3 linked regions of the Arabidopsis thaliana genome follow. The protein of the gene in region 2 interacts with the protein of the main gene of each other region in a pairwise test. Each region holds a gene or a part of one and is shown on either strand. Other genes may lie near its edges. The genes, in order: INO, NGA4 and GPRI1.

Region 1 (4,422 bases), on a different chromosome or scaffold from region 2:
AGTGTAGGTGTGACTTGTCGTCTTTGGCCTAGTTCTTCTCGCCGGTATGGATTCCTTGGAACTCTTCTATGTAAGGTAGTCTTCATCGTAATAGGTGGCACCGCTGTCCGTTTGGTTGGGAGTTCCTTGTCTCCTACGGAGTGGCTTGTTGTAAAGCTCTGCCTTTCCTTTGTCTGGTAATGTGGTTGACGAGATGTTGTGTTTAAAATTTTGGTTGTTTTGGTCTGCTTCTTTGTTTCAGTTTCGCAACTTTGCTTTGTTTGTAAGGTTTGTTTTGCCTTGTTGTCTCCCTTTCCTTTGGGTTTTGCTTCCAAGACTATCCTTTTAATCGTCGGCTTAGTTTTCTGGTGTTACTTGTTAACCGCCGGCTTTATATTTCACTTTTGTATTTCACCGGAATCTCTATAATAAATTTTCAGACGACAAAAAAAAAAAGTAACTTAGAAAGGTCAAATGTCAAAACAAAAAGTGTTTTTTTTTTAGTAAGTGTTTTTCTCCATCGTACGTACAAAAGCATTGAGCGCGCGAAGTCAAGAAGGATCTTTATTATGATAGGTTAACAAAGATTCTTACTAAAGTACTGTTTCATGGAATGTTAAAACATTCATGGAATAAGAGTAGTCATGAATGCAAAAGTAGAATTTTTTTTATAGAGTCAATGCATGTCTCTTCAAATTAAGTTCAAAGTTGACAAGTACTACGAAATTACTGAACAAACTCGCTCATTCCCAAGGACTCTTCTCGAACACACACAAATCCTACTTCCGTTTCAGATTCTTCTTCTCTCTATCTCTCTCCAACAACAGAAACCCTAAACCAACATAATCAAACCCTAGAAGAAAAGAGTCACCATCACATGTCATACGCCATTATTTATTTTTTTGTTAAATTTTCATATCCCAAATTGTTATTACTCAAATGGAGATTTTCCCCAAATGGAATGCCTCTGAGCCTTTCTCTCTCGGAACCCATTATTGCTTTCTTCATGGTCCTGCATCACAAACATTTCAACAATTATTTGGTATATTAATTGAAAACTATACATATTCAGCTTCAATGTTTTAAATTAGTTGAATGGGTTTCTATAAAAGTAAACTGTGTGCAGTGTAAGCTTCAATACTATAAAAGGGTTTAGGTCATAAATTTCACACATTGTAGTAGTTGAAGATCAATGATATATTCTCACAATCTCACTTACCCTTCTCCTTGCTTTCACTCTAATAATTAGTAAATGATTTCTCTTTATATAATTAGTCTAGCTAGGGTTCTGAAATTTTGACTGAGAGCGATGCTATTTGGATCTAGTTAATGCTTTAATTATTTGGTTTGCTTTGGAAAATGACACTTGTTGTGGAGTTTACTTGTCAAGAATATGGTAATTGATTTTGAAGCGAAAGTGATTAAAAAATATAAATGGTTGCTGAGGATTACCTCAAAAACATTGCATGGTAGTATCGCATTGTTATCTTCCTCACAAAAACATTGATCTGAAGCAGCTCTCTTGTTGTGAGCTGGAGGAAAATGGGCCCACTTCGCCATCCCCAAATCAAAAAATTGAAATCATAAAATGTTATTAGCTAACTCGATCTGTCAATTAAGCTAACAAAAAGATGAAAACTATATTAGGGTTTTCTTTTAAATCTTAAGACTAATTAAGCTTAAGTACATTTTTGGCAGCTAAGCTGAAAGCTTCCTTGTGAGCCATGCTTGGATTCTGAGCCTTTAACCTCCTGATCTCTTCCCTGCTCCAATACAACCCCCAAAGAAGAACCATTTTACAAACTCAAAACCTTAAGTGGTTAAATTTGTAAGAATATATATAATATACATACACATGTAATGTGTTGAATTTATTTCTTACTTGATGAAGCAATTGTAAGCTGAAGGAGCTCTTTGTCGCTTCTCAGGTGCTATATATATACAAACTCAAAACATAATTAGACGACTGATGAAAGGAGAAATCGCAAAACTAAAGTTTAAGTTGAATTTATACTCAAACGTACGTTTATTGACAACTTGGTAAACACGAGACACATCTTCATCTTCATTGTCTGAAGATGAAACCAAAGTCGTTGGACTGTTCTCCTTCTCCTGATTCACCTTCCATGCTTCTTCTTCCACACCATCTGTAGCTGCAACCTCCTCTTTCCCGGTCTGCACATATATTTACATATAATCAAAAGTAAGTATATATATATATATATTGGTCATATTTAGATGGTGTGTGTTTGTCTATGTATAGATGTTATGGAAACCTCATCAAGATGGGAGAGAGAAGCAAGGAGATGGAGAGGAATGAAGGAAGCCTTCATCAAATTGACAGAGAGAAGGCTTGTGCAATGCCCACATCTCACAGTCACCACCATTGACAAGCTTGTAAACGGTACACTCACCTGCAACACATTTACACTCATTAAACTCATGATCATATATATAAAGAGAGGAAGGGAGAAAGGAAGGGAGAGAATAAGAGAAGAAGTTAAGGTATACCAGCAAAATAGTGGTGCAAAAACCACACTGGACATGGCAAATCTGCCCCGGCAGATCAAATAGATGGTTGAGTGTTGTCGTCATGTTGGGGAGCTTTGTCATAGAGAGTGTGTGTGTACGATGAATGATAGGAGATATATGTGTGTGTGTGTGTGTGTATATATAGACAGAGAGATAGGTTTTGTTAATATTCATTAATGCAAATATGTAATTATATTTATATCTTTCATGTGGAATGCTTTGGTTATATGCTAAAATGCACAATACAATTCAACTTATGTACGTCTCTATCTCACTTGTAATAATTGGAATCTTCATAGTCTCTATGAGCTGTAAGCAGTAAATGATTCTCATTCTTTCTATTAATCACATTCCTAACTCCTTAATATTCAAACTACATTTTCTTCTCTAAAATAAAATAAAATAAAATGATGTATATAATACTTTTGTTGATGATGGAGTTTAATTAAGAATTTTCGTTATACAAAAGCATTGTTATAAGATTTTTATGTTATGTCACACTCACAAAATATATATGACAAATGATACATAACGTTTGAGCGTTTACCATTAGAGGAGACATTTTTTGTTGTCAAAACAATTTAAAACACTTAATAACCTATAAACAGAAAATATATAAGCTCCCTTCAAAAACCATTTCAGGATTTTTCTGATAAATAAGCATACAAGATAATATGTGTTATTGTAAGATAACACTAGGTTAAACAAAAAAATAACAAGAGATAAAAATCGATGGTAAAGAGTATGAGTATTAAAAATGAACATGTGAAAATGGAAAGGCACGTTGCACAAGAGGAGATAGATAGACATCGAAGAGAGCTGGGGTTAATAAATGATGTGATGTGGTGGTGTGGTTTGGTTTGCAAGTTAGAAAGAAAGAAAAAAACAAGTGAGGTTGAGAAAGAAATGCCTCTTTGTCTCATGTGTAGTTGTCTCTTTAAATGGGATTTAATGAATCTCTCACAAAACTCAACAGTCTTTTGGAGTTTTGGTTGAAGTGAGACTGAAAATGAAAGTGCAGTGAGTTGAGACTAGTGCGGGTGTTTCTAGGAGACTCATCACTTTTAGTAACTCGGAATCTTAGGATTTTGTCTTTCTTCTCTCACATTTTTGCTAACTGTTTCTTGACCATTTTACCCAAACTCTTCTCTCTCTCTCTCTCTCTATTTCTTCAAGTTTCAGTGCTTTCTCTCTGTGTCATGTTATTTCTACTGTCCCTCTCTTTATTGCTTTCTCTCTCTCTCACTTACTCTCATCTCCTATTTTGTGTTCAACCACAAGAAAAAGACTAAACATAATACTAATATTTACTCAATTTCCTACACATTTGTAATTTTTGTGTGGGTGGAATCCAATGCAATGACCCAACCCCGGAGTGAACAAGTTTCGACCCATTTTGAGAGATCACATAATTTACCGACCCATTAATAAGTTTCGATCCATTTTCATAAGCCTATTGATGAGTAATTGAGTAGGAGGTACACATTTGTGATTTGAGAGATTAGAGGTTAAAATTATACATTGTAATCATAGTTATGGCTTCTGGTTTAACAGTCTTTTACTCCATATATACTGATATACATCTCATTTCTAGTCTCAAACTTTTACATGACAGCTTATAGATTGGTCAAATCTCACTGTTAACATAAATAGAAGCTGTGAAATGACGATAAAATGTGCAAAGACAAACGCACGTTAATGTCAAACACATAATCAATATCTGAGAGAATTTAAACTTATCTTAGCAAACAAGTTATCAGAGCCAACAACAACAAAACTTCAAGACATTGGTGTAAGAATATGATCAGAATCAACATAATGGCTAAATTTTGCCTTGCACTAATCCAGGTTAAAACTAAAACAATGTCGCAAAGAATTGTTCCAACACAACGTCCTAATTCTACAGCCACA
Region 2 (3,761 bases):
CCCCTGAAAAATATTTACTAGTAAGTAATTGAAAAAATCTTGAATAATTAAGATTTATAATTTAAAATTATCACAGTTATAAAAATTTACAAAATACCTTTATTTTGTTTTAAGAAACATTGTAGAAATGTTTCGAACCTTTTCTCCCATTGATTTAACAATTTCAGGTGAAAACGTTTAAGAGTTTTATTTTGGTATTAAGAAAGCATTGTGAAAATGTTTAAGAATTAAATCAATGGTAAATACCAAAGTAAATAAATTCTTATAAATAAAAATCCAAAAGACCAAAGTAAAATTCTTAAACTTTCAGAAATGGTCTTATAAGAAATTACTAATTGGTCTTATAAGAAATTCTTAAACCTTCTTATAAGACCATTTCTAAAAAGTTTAAATGAATTTTTATTTTTTTCAGCATTCTTAGGAAAAACCTAAAAAAACTAAGATATTCATTAGAATTTACAGTGTCTCATTATAATTTTACATAAAATGAATATGTTTTAGTGTTTATATTTTTAAAATAGAGAAAAAATATTTTAAATTTTAAATTTATTAAAAGTAATATTTCCATAACTTTCAGATTAATATTATATTATAGATTAATTTAATAATTTTCTTTACTAATAATATAGCTGGTCTAATGTCTATCTAGAAACCTAATATTATTTTTTTTTAATGATTTTCTTACATGTATAGATTAAAAAGTTATTTATTTGGTCTAGTGTCAATCTTGTAATCTATTTTTTTAATTTGTTCATGGTCTTTTTACATTTTTTATATACATATATAGATACTAAAATTAGCTAGTTCCACTTGTAAGCATATGTGTGGAGCCGTATCTAGTTATAGTTAATTTAAATCTTCATATTGTACTTTTGTGTGGTTTCCTATCTTTGGTATACACAGATTAGTTATAATATATGATGATTTAATATAATTAGCTAAAAATAACTAGATAGAAGAAACTGACAAACATTTTTTCATGGTCTAATATAATTTAATATAACTTCCTATCATGTAACCTATTTTCTTAATTTGGTCATGTCTTTTTACATTTTTTGATACAGAAATAACACGTGTAAGCATATGTGTGGAGCCATATCTAGTTATAGTTAATATAAATCTTCATGTTGTACTTTTGTGTGGTTTTCTATCTTCGGTATACACAAATTAGTTATAATATATGATGATTTAATATAATTAGCTAAAAATAAGTAAAGAACTAATTAGAAGAAACTAACAAACAGAAAATAATAAATACAAAAGATCTGGTATGAATAAAGATGAAAATAAAAATACAGATATCAAAATAAAAGGAAATAGTCTCACAAAAGATTGACACAATACATGTATGTATATATTTGTATATCTATATAAATAGCTAGAGTTACCCCAAGTCTATAGCTAATTGAAAAGGACAAGAAGCTCTCACATGACCCGAACCACACCATTCATGGGCCCCTTTACTCTTCTCTAATATTTGATCTTCATCTCCATCATCGAGGAAATCTCTCTCAAGCCACTATATTTCTTCACCCCTTAAAGTCATCTAGAGAGAAAGATAGAGAGAGAACCTTTTTTTTTTTTAACTCCAAACCATTGATTTCATTTTCATTTATTTCTCTTTTGGAGTCAACGAAAAGATCAGAAGAAGAAGCAAACACAAAGAGTGAAAGAGTACGTCTGTCTTCTTCTTCTGGATTTAGGGTTTTCTTTTTCACTTTTTGTTTTTTTGGTTATAGCTTTTTTTCTTCTTCTTGTTCTTCACTTCATCTTCCATTTACTTTTAATTATTTGATTGAAGTATTACTTTTTTTCCTTAGTATTGGGGTGATGATTTTTATTTGATTTCTAATAAAATTATTTCATGTATGTTGAAGGATTTTGTATTGGATCTTGTCAAGAATCACTCATTCAGATCCATAAAAATAAAGTTGAATACTTTTTGAAAGATCTTGAATTGGTCCATCTTCTTTTCAAGAACCTATAAGTTGGATACTTTTGAAAGATCTTGAAATTGGGTCATCAATCTTCTCAAGACCCCATATATAAACAGCTTGATACTTTTGATGAATATCTCAACAATGAATCTTGACCAAGAACTCGCCGAGATCAGAGCTAGCAGTTCCGACCACACCAATTACTTCTACAGCTCGGAGAGGAGAGAGCACATGTTCGACAAAGTGTTGACACCAAGTGACGTCGGTAAACTAAACCGGCTCGTGATTCCAAAGCAACATGCAGAGAACTTCTTCCCTTTAGAGGACAATCAAAACGGCACAGTGTTGGATTTCCAAGACAAAAACGGCAAGATGTGGAGGTTTCGTTACTCGTATTGGAACAGTAGCCAAAGCTACGTGATGACCAAAGGATGGAGCCGTTTCGTCAAGGAGAAGAAACTCTTCGCCGGAGACACCGTCTCTTTCTACCGTGGCTACATCCCTGACGATAACGCACAACCGGAGAGACGACGGAAAATAATGTTCATCGATTGGAGGCCTAGAGCCGAGATAAACTTCGTACACAACATTAACAATCATAACTTCGTTTTCGGGTCTCCGACATATCCAACGGCTAGGTTTTATCCGGTGACGCCGGAATATTCCATGCCATACCGGAGTTTTCCACCGTTTTATCAGAACCAATTTCAAGAACGGGAATATTTAGGGTATGGTTATGGTAGAGTTGTTAATGGTAATGGAGTGCGTTACTACGCAGGATCACCGTTGGATCAACATCATCAGTGGAATCTTGGTCGATCTGAGCCGTTGGTTTATGACTCGGTTCCAGTTTTTCCAGCGGGGAGGGTACCTCCGTCGGCGCCTCCTCAGCCGTCGACGACGAAGAAGCTGAGGCTGTTTGGGGTTGACGTGGAAGAGTCTTCATCTTCAGGGGATACACGTGGCGAAATGGGAGTAGCAGGGTACTCTTCCTCGTCTCCGGTTGTGATCAGAGACGATGATCAATCATTTTGGAGGTCGCCACGTGGCGAAATGGCATCGTCTTCTTCGGCTATGCAGCTAAGTGATGATGAAGAATATAAGAGGAAAGGGAAATCTTTAGAGCTTTGAAGATAGAATAAAATAAGAACTAAGGAGTAATTTATTCACCATTTTCTTTTAAGAGTTAGTTCCAACTTTCAACTCATTAGATCATTTGGCAATTGGGGAATATGTAGTGGGAAATTAACCGGGCTTATATCTATATATTGGTTTAATTAAGAGTTTTTGTTTCAACATGTTGATCCTTGAGCCCTAATTACCATGTTGAATAGAAAACCCCCATCTTTCAATGTTAAATTAAGCTTATAAATAATATAAATAATCATTTAATTTTCATATAATCTTGAGTTTTTAACTATAGTTACTCATATTGTCAAATTAAATGCTTACAACGATCCATAAATCAAAAGTGTTCATCTCTGTATCCTAACTTTGTTTTGGTTCTAGTTTGAGATGTATACTCTTGGGAAGGAGAAAAAAGCTTATAAAATTTTATGAATTGTACTCTCTGTGCCTATCTGTAGCTAAGCTGACAAAGTTTCATGGTACATTCTAAGCTAATGGGCAGTTTCAAAAGTGTCGCTCTCTCTTTCCCTACCAATGGTCCAATTTTAGTTTGTTTGGTTACTATTGTCTTGGGTTGGTTTAAAGAGATTTGTAGGTTATGGACAGAGAACAAAAAAGAGAAGCTATGGAAGGACAATTTCAGTTTATAATGATAATTTTGAAAAAAGAAATATGAAAGGTATGATATGTTCTTTC
Region 3 (4,541 bases), on a different chromosome or scaffold from region 2:
AAAGTATGTGGAATTTCTTACAATTTTCTTCCTTCACGATGTATATATATATATGCCGTACGAATATTGTGAACGTGAATTCGATTCAAAAAATGTGATGTGGAAACGAGCAACAACAATTATTGTAGCTCTTGAGGACCCATAGGACGTGCATGTCCACTTATACCTAATGAGACAATTCTGTCCTTTTTTATAAGAGCATCTTCCACAGCTTAATTTGCGAGCCTCATTCACGTCAATATATAAGGGGTATGTGATACGGTAGATGGATTGATTATTTACATCCATCTACATGTAAGTTGACCAGCATAGACCTTTTACATAGTGACATAGAACCGTTGAAATGCCATCCGATTGATCAATAATGTTGGGACAGACCAAAACCAAGATACCAAAACGGTAAAGGGACAAATGCGACAATCAGATATTGAACTTTAAAGTTGTGGCTCTGATCCAGTTTGGCAACAACTTCACTTAAATTTTTGTGTTACCAACAAAACAGGGAAAAAGATTCGCTAAAAGAGTTGCCTAAATATATGTTTGAGCTTGTTGTCGATATTTTATGTTTATCTAAACAGTAAAAAAAAAAAAATTTATGTTTTATTTACCACATTTAGAACTAGGCATATATATATATATATATCTTATTATATAAAGTATGGTTTTTAAAGTTGCTAACTCATAAGATTGTGTCACGTGTCAAGTCAAACGATCAGATGTTTACATGTATCATTCAAAATTTAACTTTTTTATTCTCTAAAATTAAATAGAAAATCTTAAAAAGTAAACAAATTTACATATACTAATTTATATGTCTATATATTTATAAACAATTAACATTTATTCAACAAAAGGAAAATTAACAAATTTGTCTTTAACTCATGTAATCATAAGTGAAAATAGAACATTTTGAGAAAAATAGCTTATCTTATAGGATTTAACTTTTCAATTATTTTCATTTATTAATTTTAACTCATTTAATATTAATTTGCATGATGTAAAATTAACTTACGAGATTACGGCATATATAGAAAATATATTTTCAACAATGTTTGGTTTCTAAATATTTTGTGGATTTCTTTTTTTTATTAATTATTAGCCCTAGGCGTTTGGGTATTCGGGTCGGGTATTTTGGGTTCGGGTTTTCGGGTTTAGAAGTTTAGGACCCGTTCGGGTAATTTAAGATTTCGGGTCGGGTTCGGTTTGGGTGGGTTTGAGTTTATTTATATATTGAAATATCAAATTTTGTGTGCAAATCTATTAAATTACTTGAAAATTTCAAAAATTCCCAAAACAACACGAGTAGTTTTGCTTGAATATATCTAAAAATACACAAAATAATTAAAATATCCAAAAAATCCTAATATTTTCTATATATAAGTATAAATATAACTAATATATATTTATATTTGAAATATGTTTGGATACGTATTCGGGTTCAGGTTCGAGTTTTTTGGGTTTTGAAGTTTAGATCTGTTCGAGTATTTGAAAATTTCGGGTACACCCGCCTCAATAGGCGGGCCTTATCTAGTATATATATATATATATATTTTTGTGATGGATTTCTTTCTGTCTCTCTCTATATATAGCATATAAATGAAAATGAATTATATTTGCCTTTAAGGGAGAAGAAAGAGACTTACTTTGGATATCAAAACATGTCTTGCTCTCTATTCTAATTAAGTCTAGCCTATCTACAACATACATAAACCTCTATCTACGATTATATTTGGATCTACAAGTGAAGATTGATCGATGTTAGCTCTGTCTCCGGCGACAAGAGATGGTTGCGACGGAGCGTCAGAGTTTCTTGATACGTCGTGTGGATTCACGATTATAAACCCGGAGGAGGAGGAGGAGTTTCCGGATTTCGCTGACCACGGTGATCTTCTTGACATCATTGACTTCGACGATATATTCGGTGTGGCCGGAGATGTGCTTCCTGACTTGGAGATCGACCCTGAGATCTTATCCGGGGATTTCTCCAATCACATGAACGCTTCTTCAACGATTACTACGACGTCGGATAAGACTGATAGTCAAGGGGAGACTACTAAGGGTAGTTCGGGGAAAGGTGAAGAAGTCGTAAGCAAAAGAGACGATGTTGCGGCGGAGACGGTGACTTATGACGGTGACAGTGACCGGAAAAGGAAGTATTCCTCTTCAGCTTCTTCCAAGAACAATCGGATCAGTAACAACGAAGGGAAGAGAAAGGTGAAGGTAATGATTTTAATCATATCATCTATATATAAAACATTAGTCTTATATGAATAAAAACCCTAGCTAGACTCGATTAAATGAACAGGTCTATAATGGATTCGTATTTTTTTTAAAAGTGGATTATTCGTTTAGAATTCATTTTCTTGCTAAATCTTCTAAATTTTTCATATTTCAGTCATGTTTACAAGACTCGTGTAAAGACATCACGTGCATCTCTATAAGACTTTTTTTCTTTCAAATTATGTAAAATAGTCAGCTGCTAATTGTGAATTTTATATAGTATGTGAAAAAGTATTGAAAAAATAATGAAGATGGTGGTTATATATATGTTGGGATGTGTGTGAAGGTGGATTGGACACCAGAGCTACACAGGAGATTCGTGGAGGCAGTGGAACAGTTAGGAGTGGACAAAGCTGTTCCTTCTCGAATTCTGGAGCTTATGGGAGTCCATTGTCTCACTCGTCACAACGTTGCTAGTCACCTCCAAGTTAGTATATTTCTTTTCAATTTCATTCTCTAATATTAACCATCCAAATTAACATGTTGCTGTTATTTGGTATACTAGAAATATAGGTCTCATCGGAAACATTTGCTAGCTCGTGAGGCCGAAGCGGCTAATTGGACACGCAAAAGGCATATCTATGGAGTAGACACCGGTGCTAATCTTAATGGTCGGACTAAAAATGGATGGCTTGCACCGGCACCCACTCTCGGGTTTCCACCACCACCACCCGTGGCTGTTGCACCGCCACCTGTCCACCACCATCATTTTAGGCCCCTGCATGTGTGGGGACATCCCACGGTTGATCAGTCCATTATGCCGCATGTGTGGCCCAAACACTTACCTCCGCCTTCTACCGCCATGCCTAATCCGCCGTTTTGGGTCTCCGATTCTCCCTATTGGCATCCAGTAAGTTCCCACATTTATGAAACCTTTACTTTAGCTCTTTATCATATTTGTTTTCATCATAGTATTTAACATTATGAAAGCTGAATGACACCGAGTATTTTTATCATATGCTTGTCTTTCTAACCAGCATTTTTGCATGTAGATGCATAACGGGACGACTCCGTATTTACCGACCGTAGCTACGGTAATGAACCAACATTTATAAGATTGTTTCCGTATGTATACCCCTTTTTGTTTCTATATATATGTTTTAAATCGTATTTTTGATTGGTAATTGTATAGAGATTTAGAGCACCGCCAGTTGCCGGAATCCCGCATGCTCTGCCGCCGCATCACACGATGTACAAACCAAATCTTGGATTTGGTGGTGCTCGTCCTCCGGTAGACTTACATCCGGTAAGAATCTAATATAATGAATTGATTGTTGTCGAGTTTTGACTTTTCGCATTTGATTATGTAATTATGTATTTTTGACTTTTTGTGTATATATATTATAAATGGAACAGTCAAAAGAGAGCGTGGATGCAGCCATAGGAGATGTATTGACGAGGCCATGGCTGCCACTTCCGTTGGGATTAAATCCGCCGGCTGTTGACGGTGTTATGACAGAGCTTCACCGTCACGGTGTCTCTGAGGTTCCTCCGACCGCGTCTTGTGCCTGAAACGCACAAGATCCGTAGGCAAGCGAGAACCAAACAAAAATTCGACGACATGTCTTTCAATTATTGTACTTTTATTTTTCCAAGGGTTGTTTTTGTTTTGACCCTTGTTGTGTTAAGAGTTACTCTTTACTTAATCGTCCCATGTGACTAATAAGGAGACCCTTTTCATATGTATCTAGGGTGCTAAGTACACTCTAGCTCTATTAACGCAAATAAATTACCTATATTTTCTCTAACCATTGGTGATTTAGAACTTGATTGCTTATATAAAGTTTTTTTATAAAACATAACACAACAAATTTCCATATCAAATGATCATATGGAAATTGGAAGCGTTCAAAGCAAAGTCGCAAACGACGACCAATTGATTATAAAGAGGACAACCTCACGAGTATATATACACTTATAATTTATAAACATAACTTATACTTAAAAATACCAGCCGGTTATATATGGTGAAAAATGAGTAATGAAATTGTGTGTTTACCATGCATATATTACCGTATAAAAACGTATTGTTGGGATTGAGAGAACAATGGCATAAAATAATAATGAGGAGAGAGGGAGAGGACCACGAGATAAGAGGAGAAGGAAGTGCATGGAGGCAACGTAAAATCCAACGTAACGACCTCTTCTTTCTCCAATTGTGACCACTCTCTCTCTCTCTCTCTCGTCTCCTTCAAATTTGAATGGTCCCTCTCTCTTCATAATTGATAATTCATATACATGCGGATACTATTACTAGCATC

What was found.
Region 1: the proteins of NGA4 (region 2) and INO interact in binary tests that used the Arabidopsis thaliana proteins (3 or more experiments, as listed by UniProt).
Region 3: the proteins of NGA4 (region 2) and GPRI1 interact in binary tests that used the Arabidopsis thaliana proteins (3 or more experiments, as listed by UniProt).

What each region holds. Positions count from the first base shown.
Region 1 is NC_003070.9:8,315,593-8,320,014, reverse strand, and holds INO (Plant-specific transcription factor YABBY family protein), read right to left. Parts: upstream 2,719-4,422; 5' UTR 2,686-2,718; coding exon 2,491-2,685; intron 2,394-2,490; coding exon 2,256-2,393; intron 2,155-2,255; coding exon 2,004-2,154; intron 1,911-2,003; coding exon 1,862-1,910; intron 1,743-1,861; coding exon 1,667-1,742; intron 1,531-1,666; coding exon 1,432-1,530; intron 992-1,431; coding exon 911-991; 3' UTR 524-910; downstream 1-523. UniProt on the Arabidopsis thaliana protein: Essential for the formation and the abaxial-adaxial asymmetric growth of the ovule outer integument.
Region 2 is NC_003075.7:637,725-641,485, forward strand, and holds NGA4 (AP2/B3-like transcriptional factor family protein), read left to right. Parts: upstream 1-1,522; 5' UTR 1,523-1,674; intron 1,675-1,877; 5' UTR 1,878-2,066; coding exon 2,067-3,068; 3' UTR 3,069-3,252; downstream 3,253-3,761. UniProt on the Arabidopsis thaliana protein: Regulates lateral organ growth. Functionally redundant with NGA1, NGA2 and NGA3.
Region 3 is NC_003071.7:8,853,731-8,858,271, forward strand, and holds GPRI1 (GBF's pro-rich region-interacting factor 1), read left to right. Parts: upstream 1-1,627; 5' UTR 1,628-1,755; coding exon 1,756-2,220; intron 2,221-2,287; coding exon 2,288-2,335; intron 2,336-2,566; coding exon 2,567-2,707; intron 2,708-2,785; coding exon 2,786-3,130; intron 3,131-3,272; coding exon 3,273-3,314; intron 3,315-3,412; coding exon 3,413-3,526; intron 3,527-3,636; coding exon 3,637-3,792; 3' UTR 3,793-4,026; downstream 4,027-4,541. UniProt on the Arabidopsis thaliana protein: Transcriptional activator that functions with GLK2 to promote chloroplast development. Acts as an activator of nuclear photosynthetic genes involved in chlorophyll biosynthesis, light harvesting, and electron transport.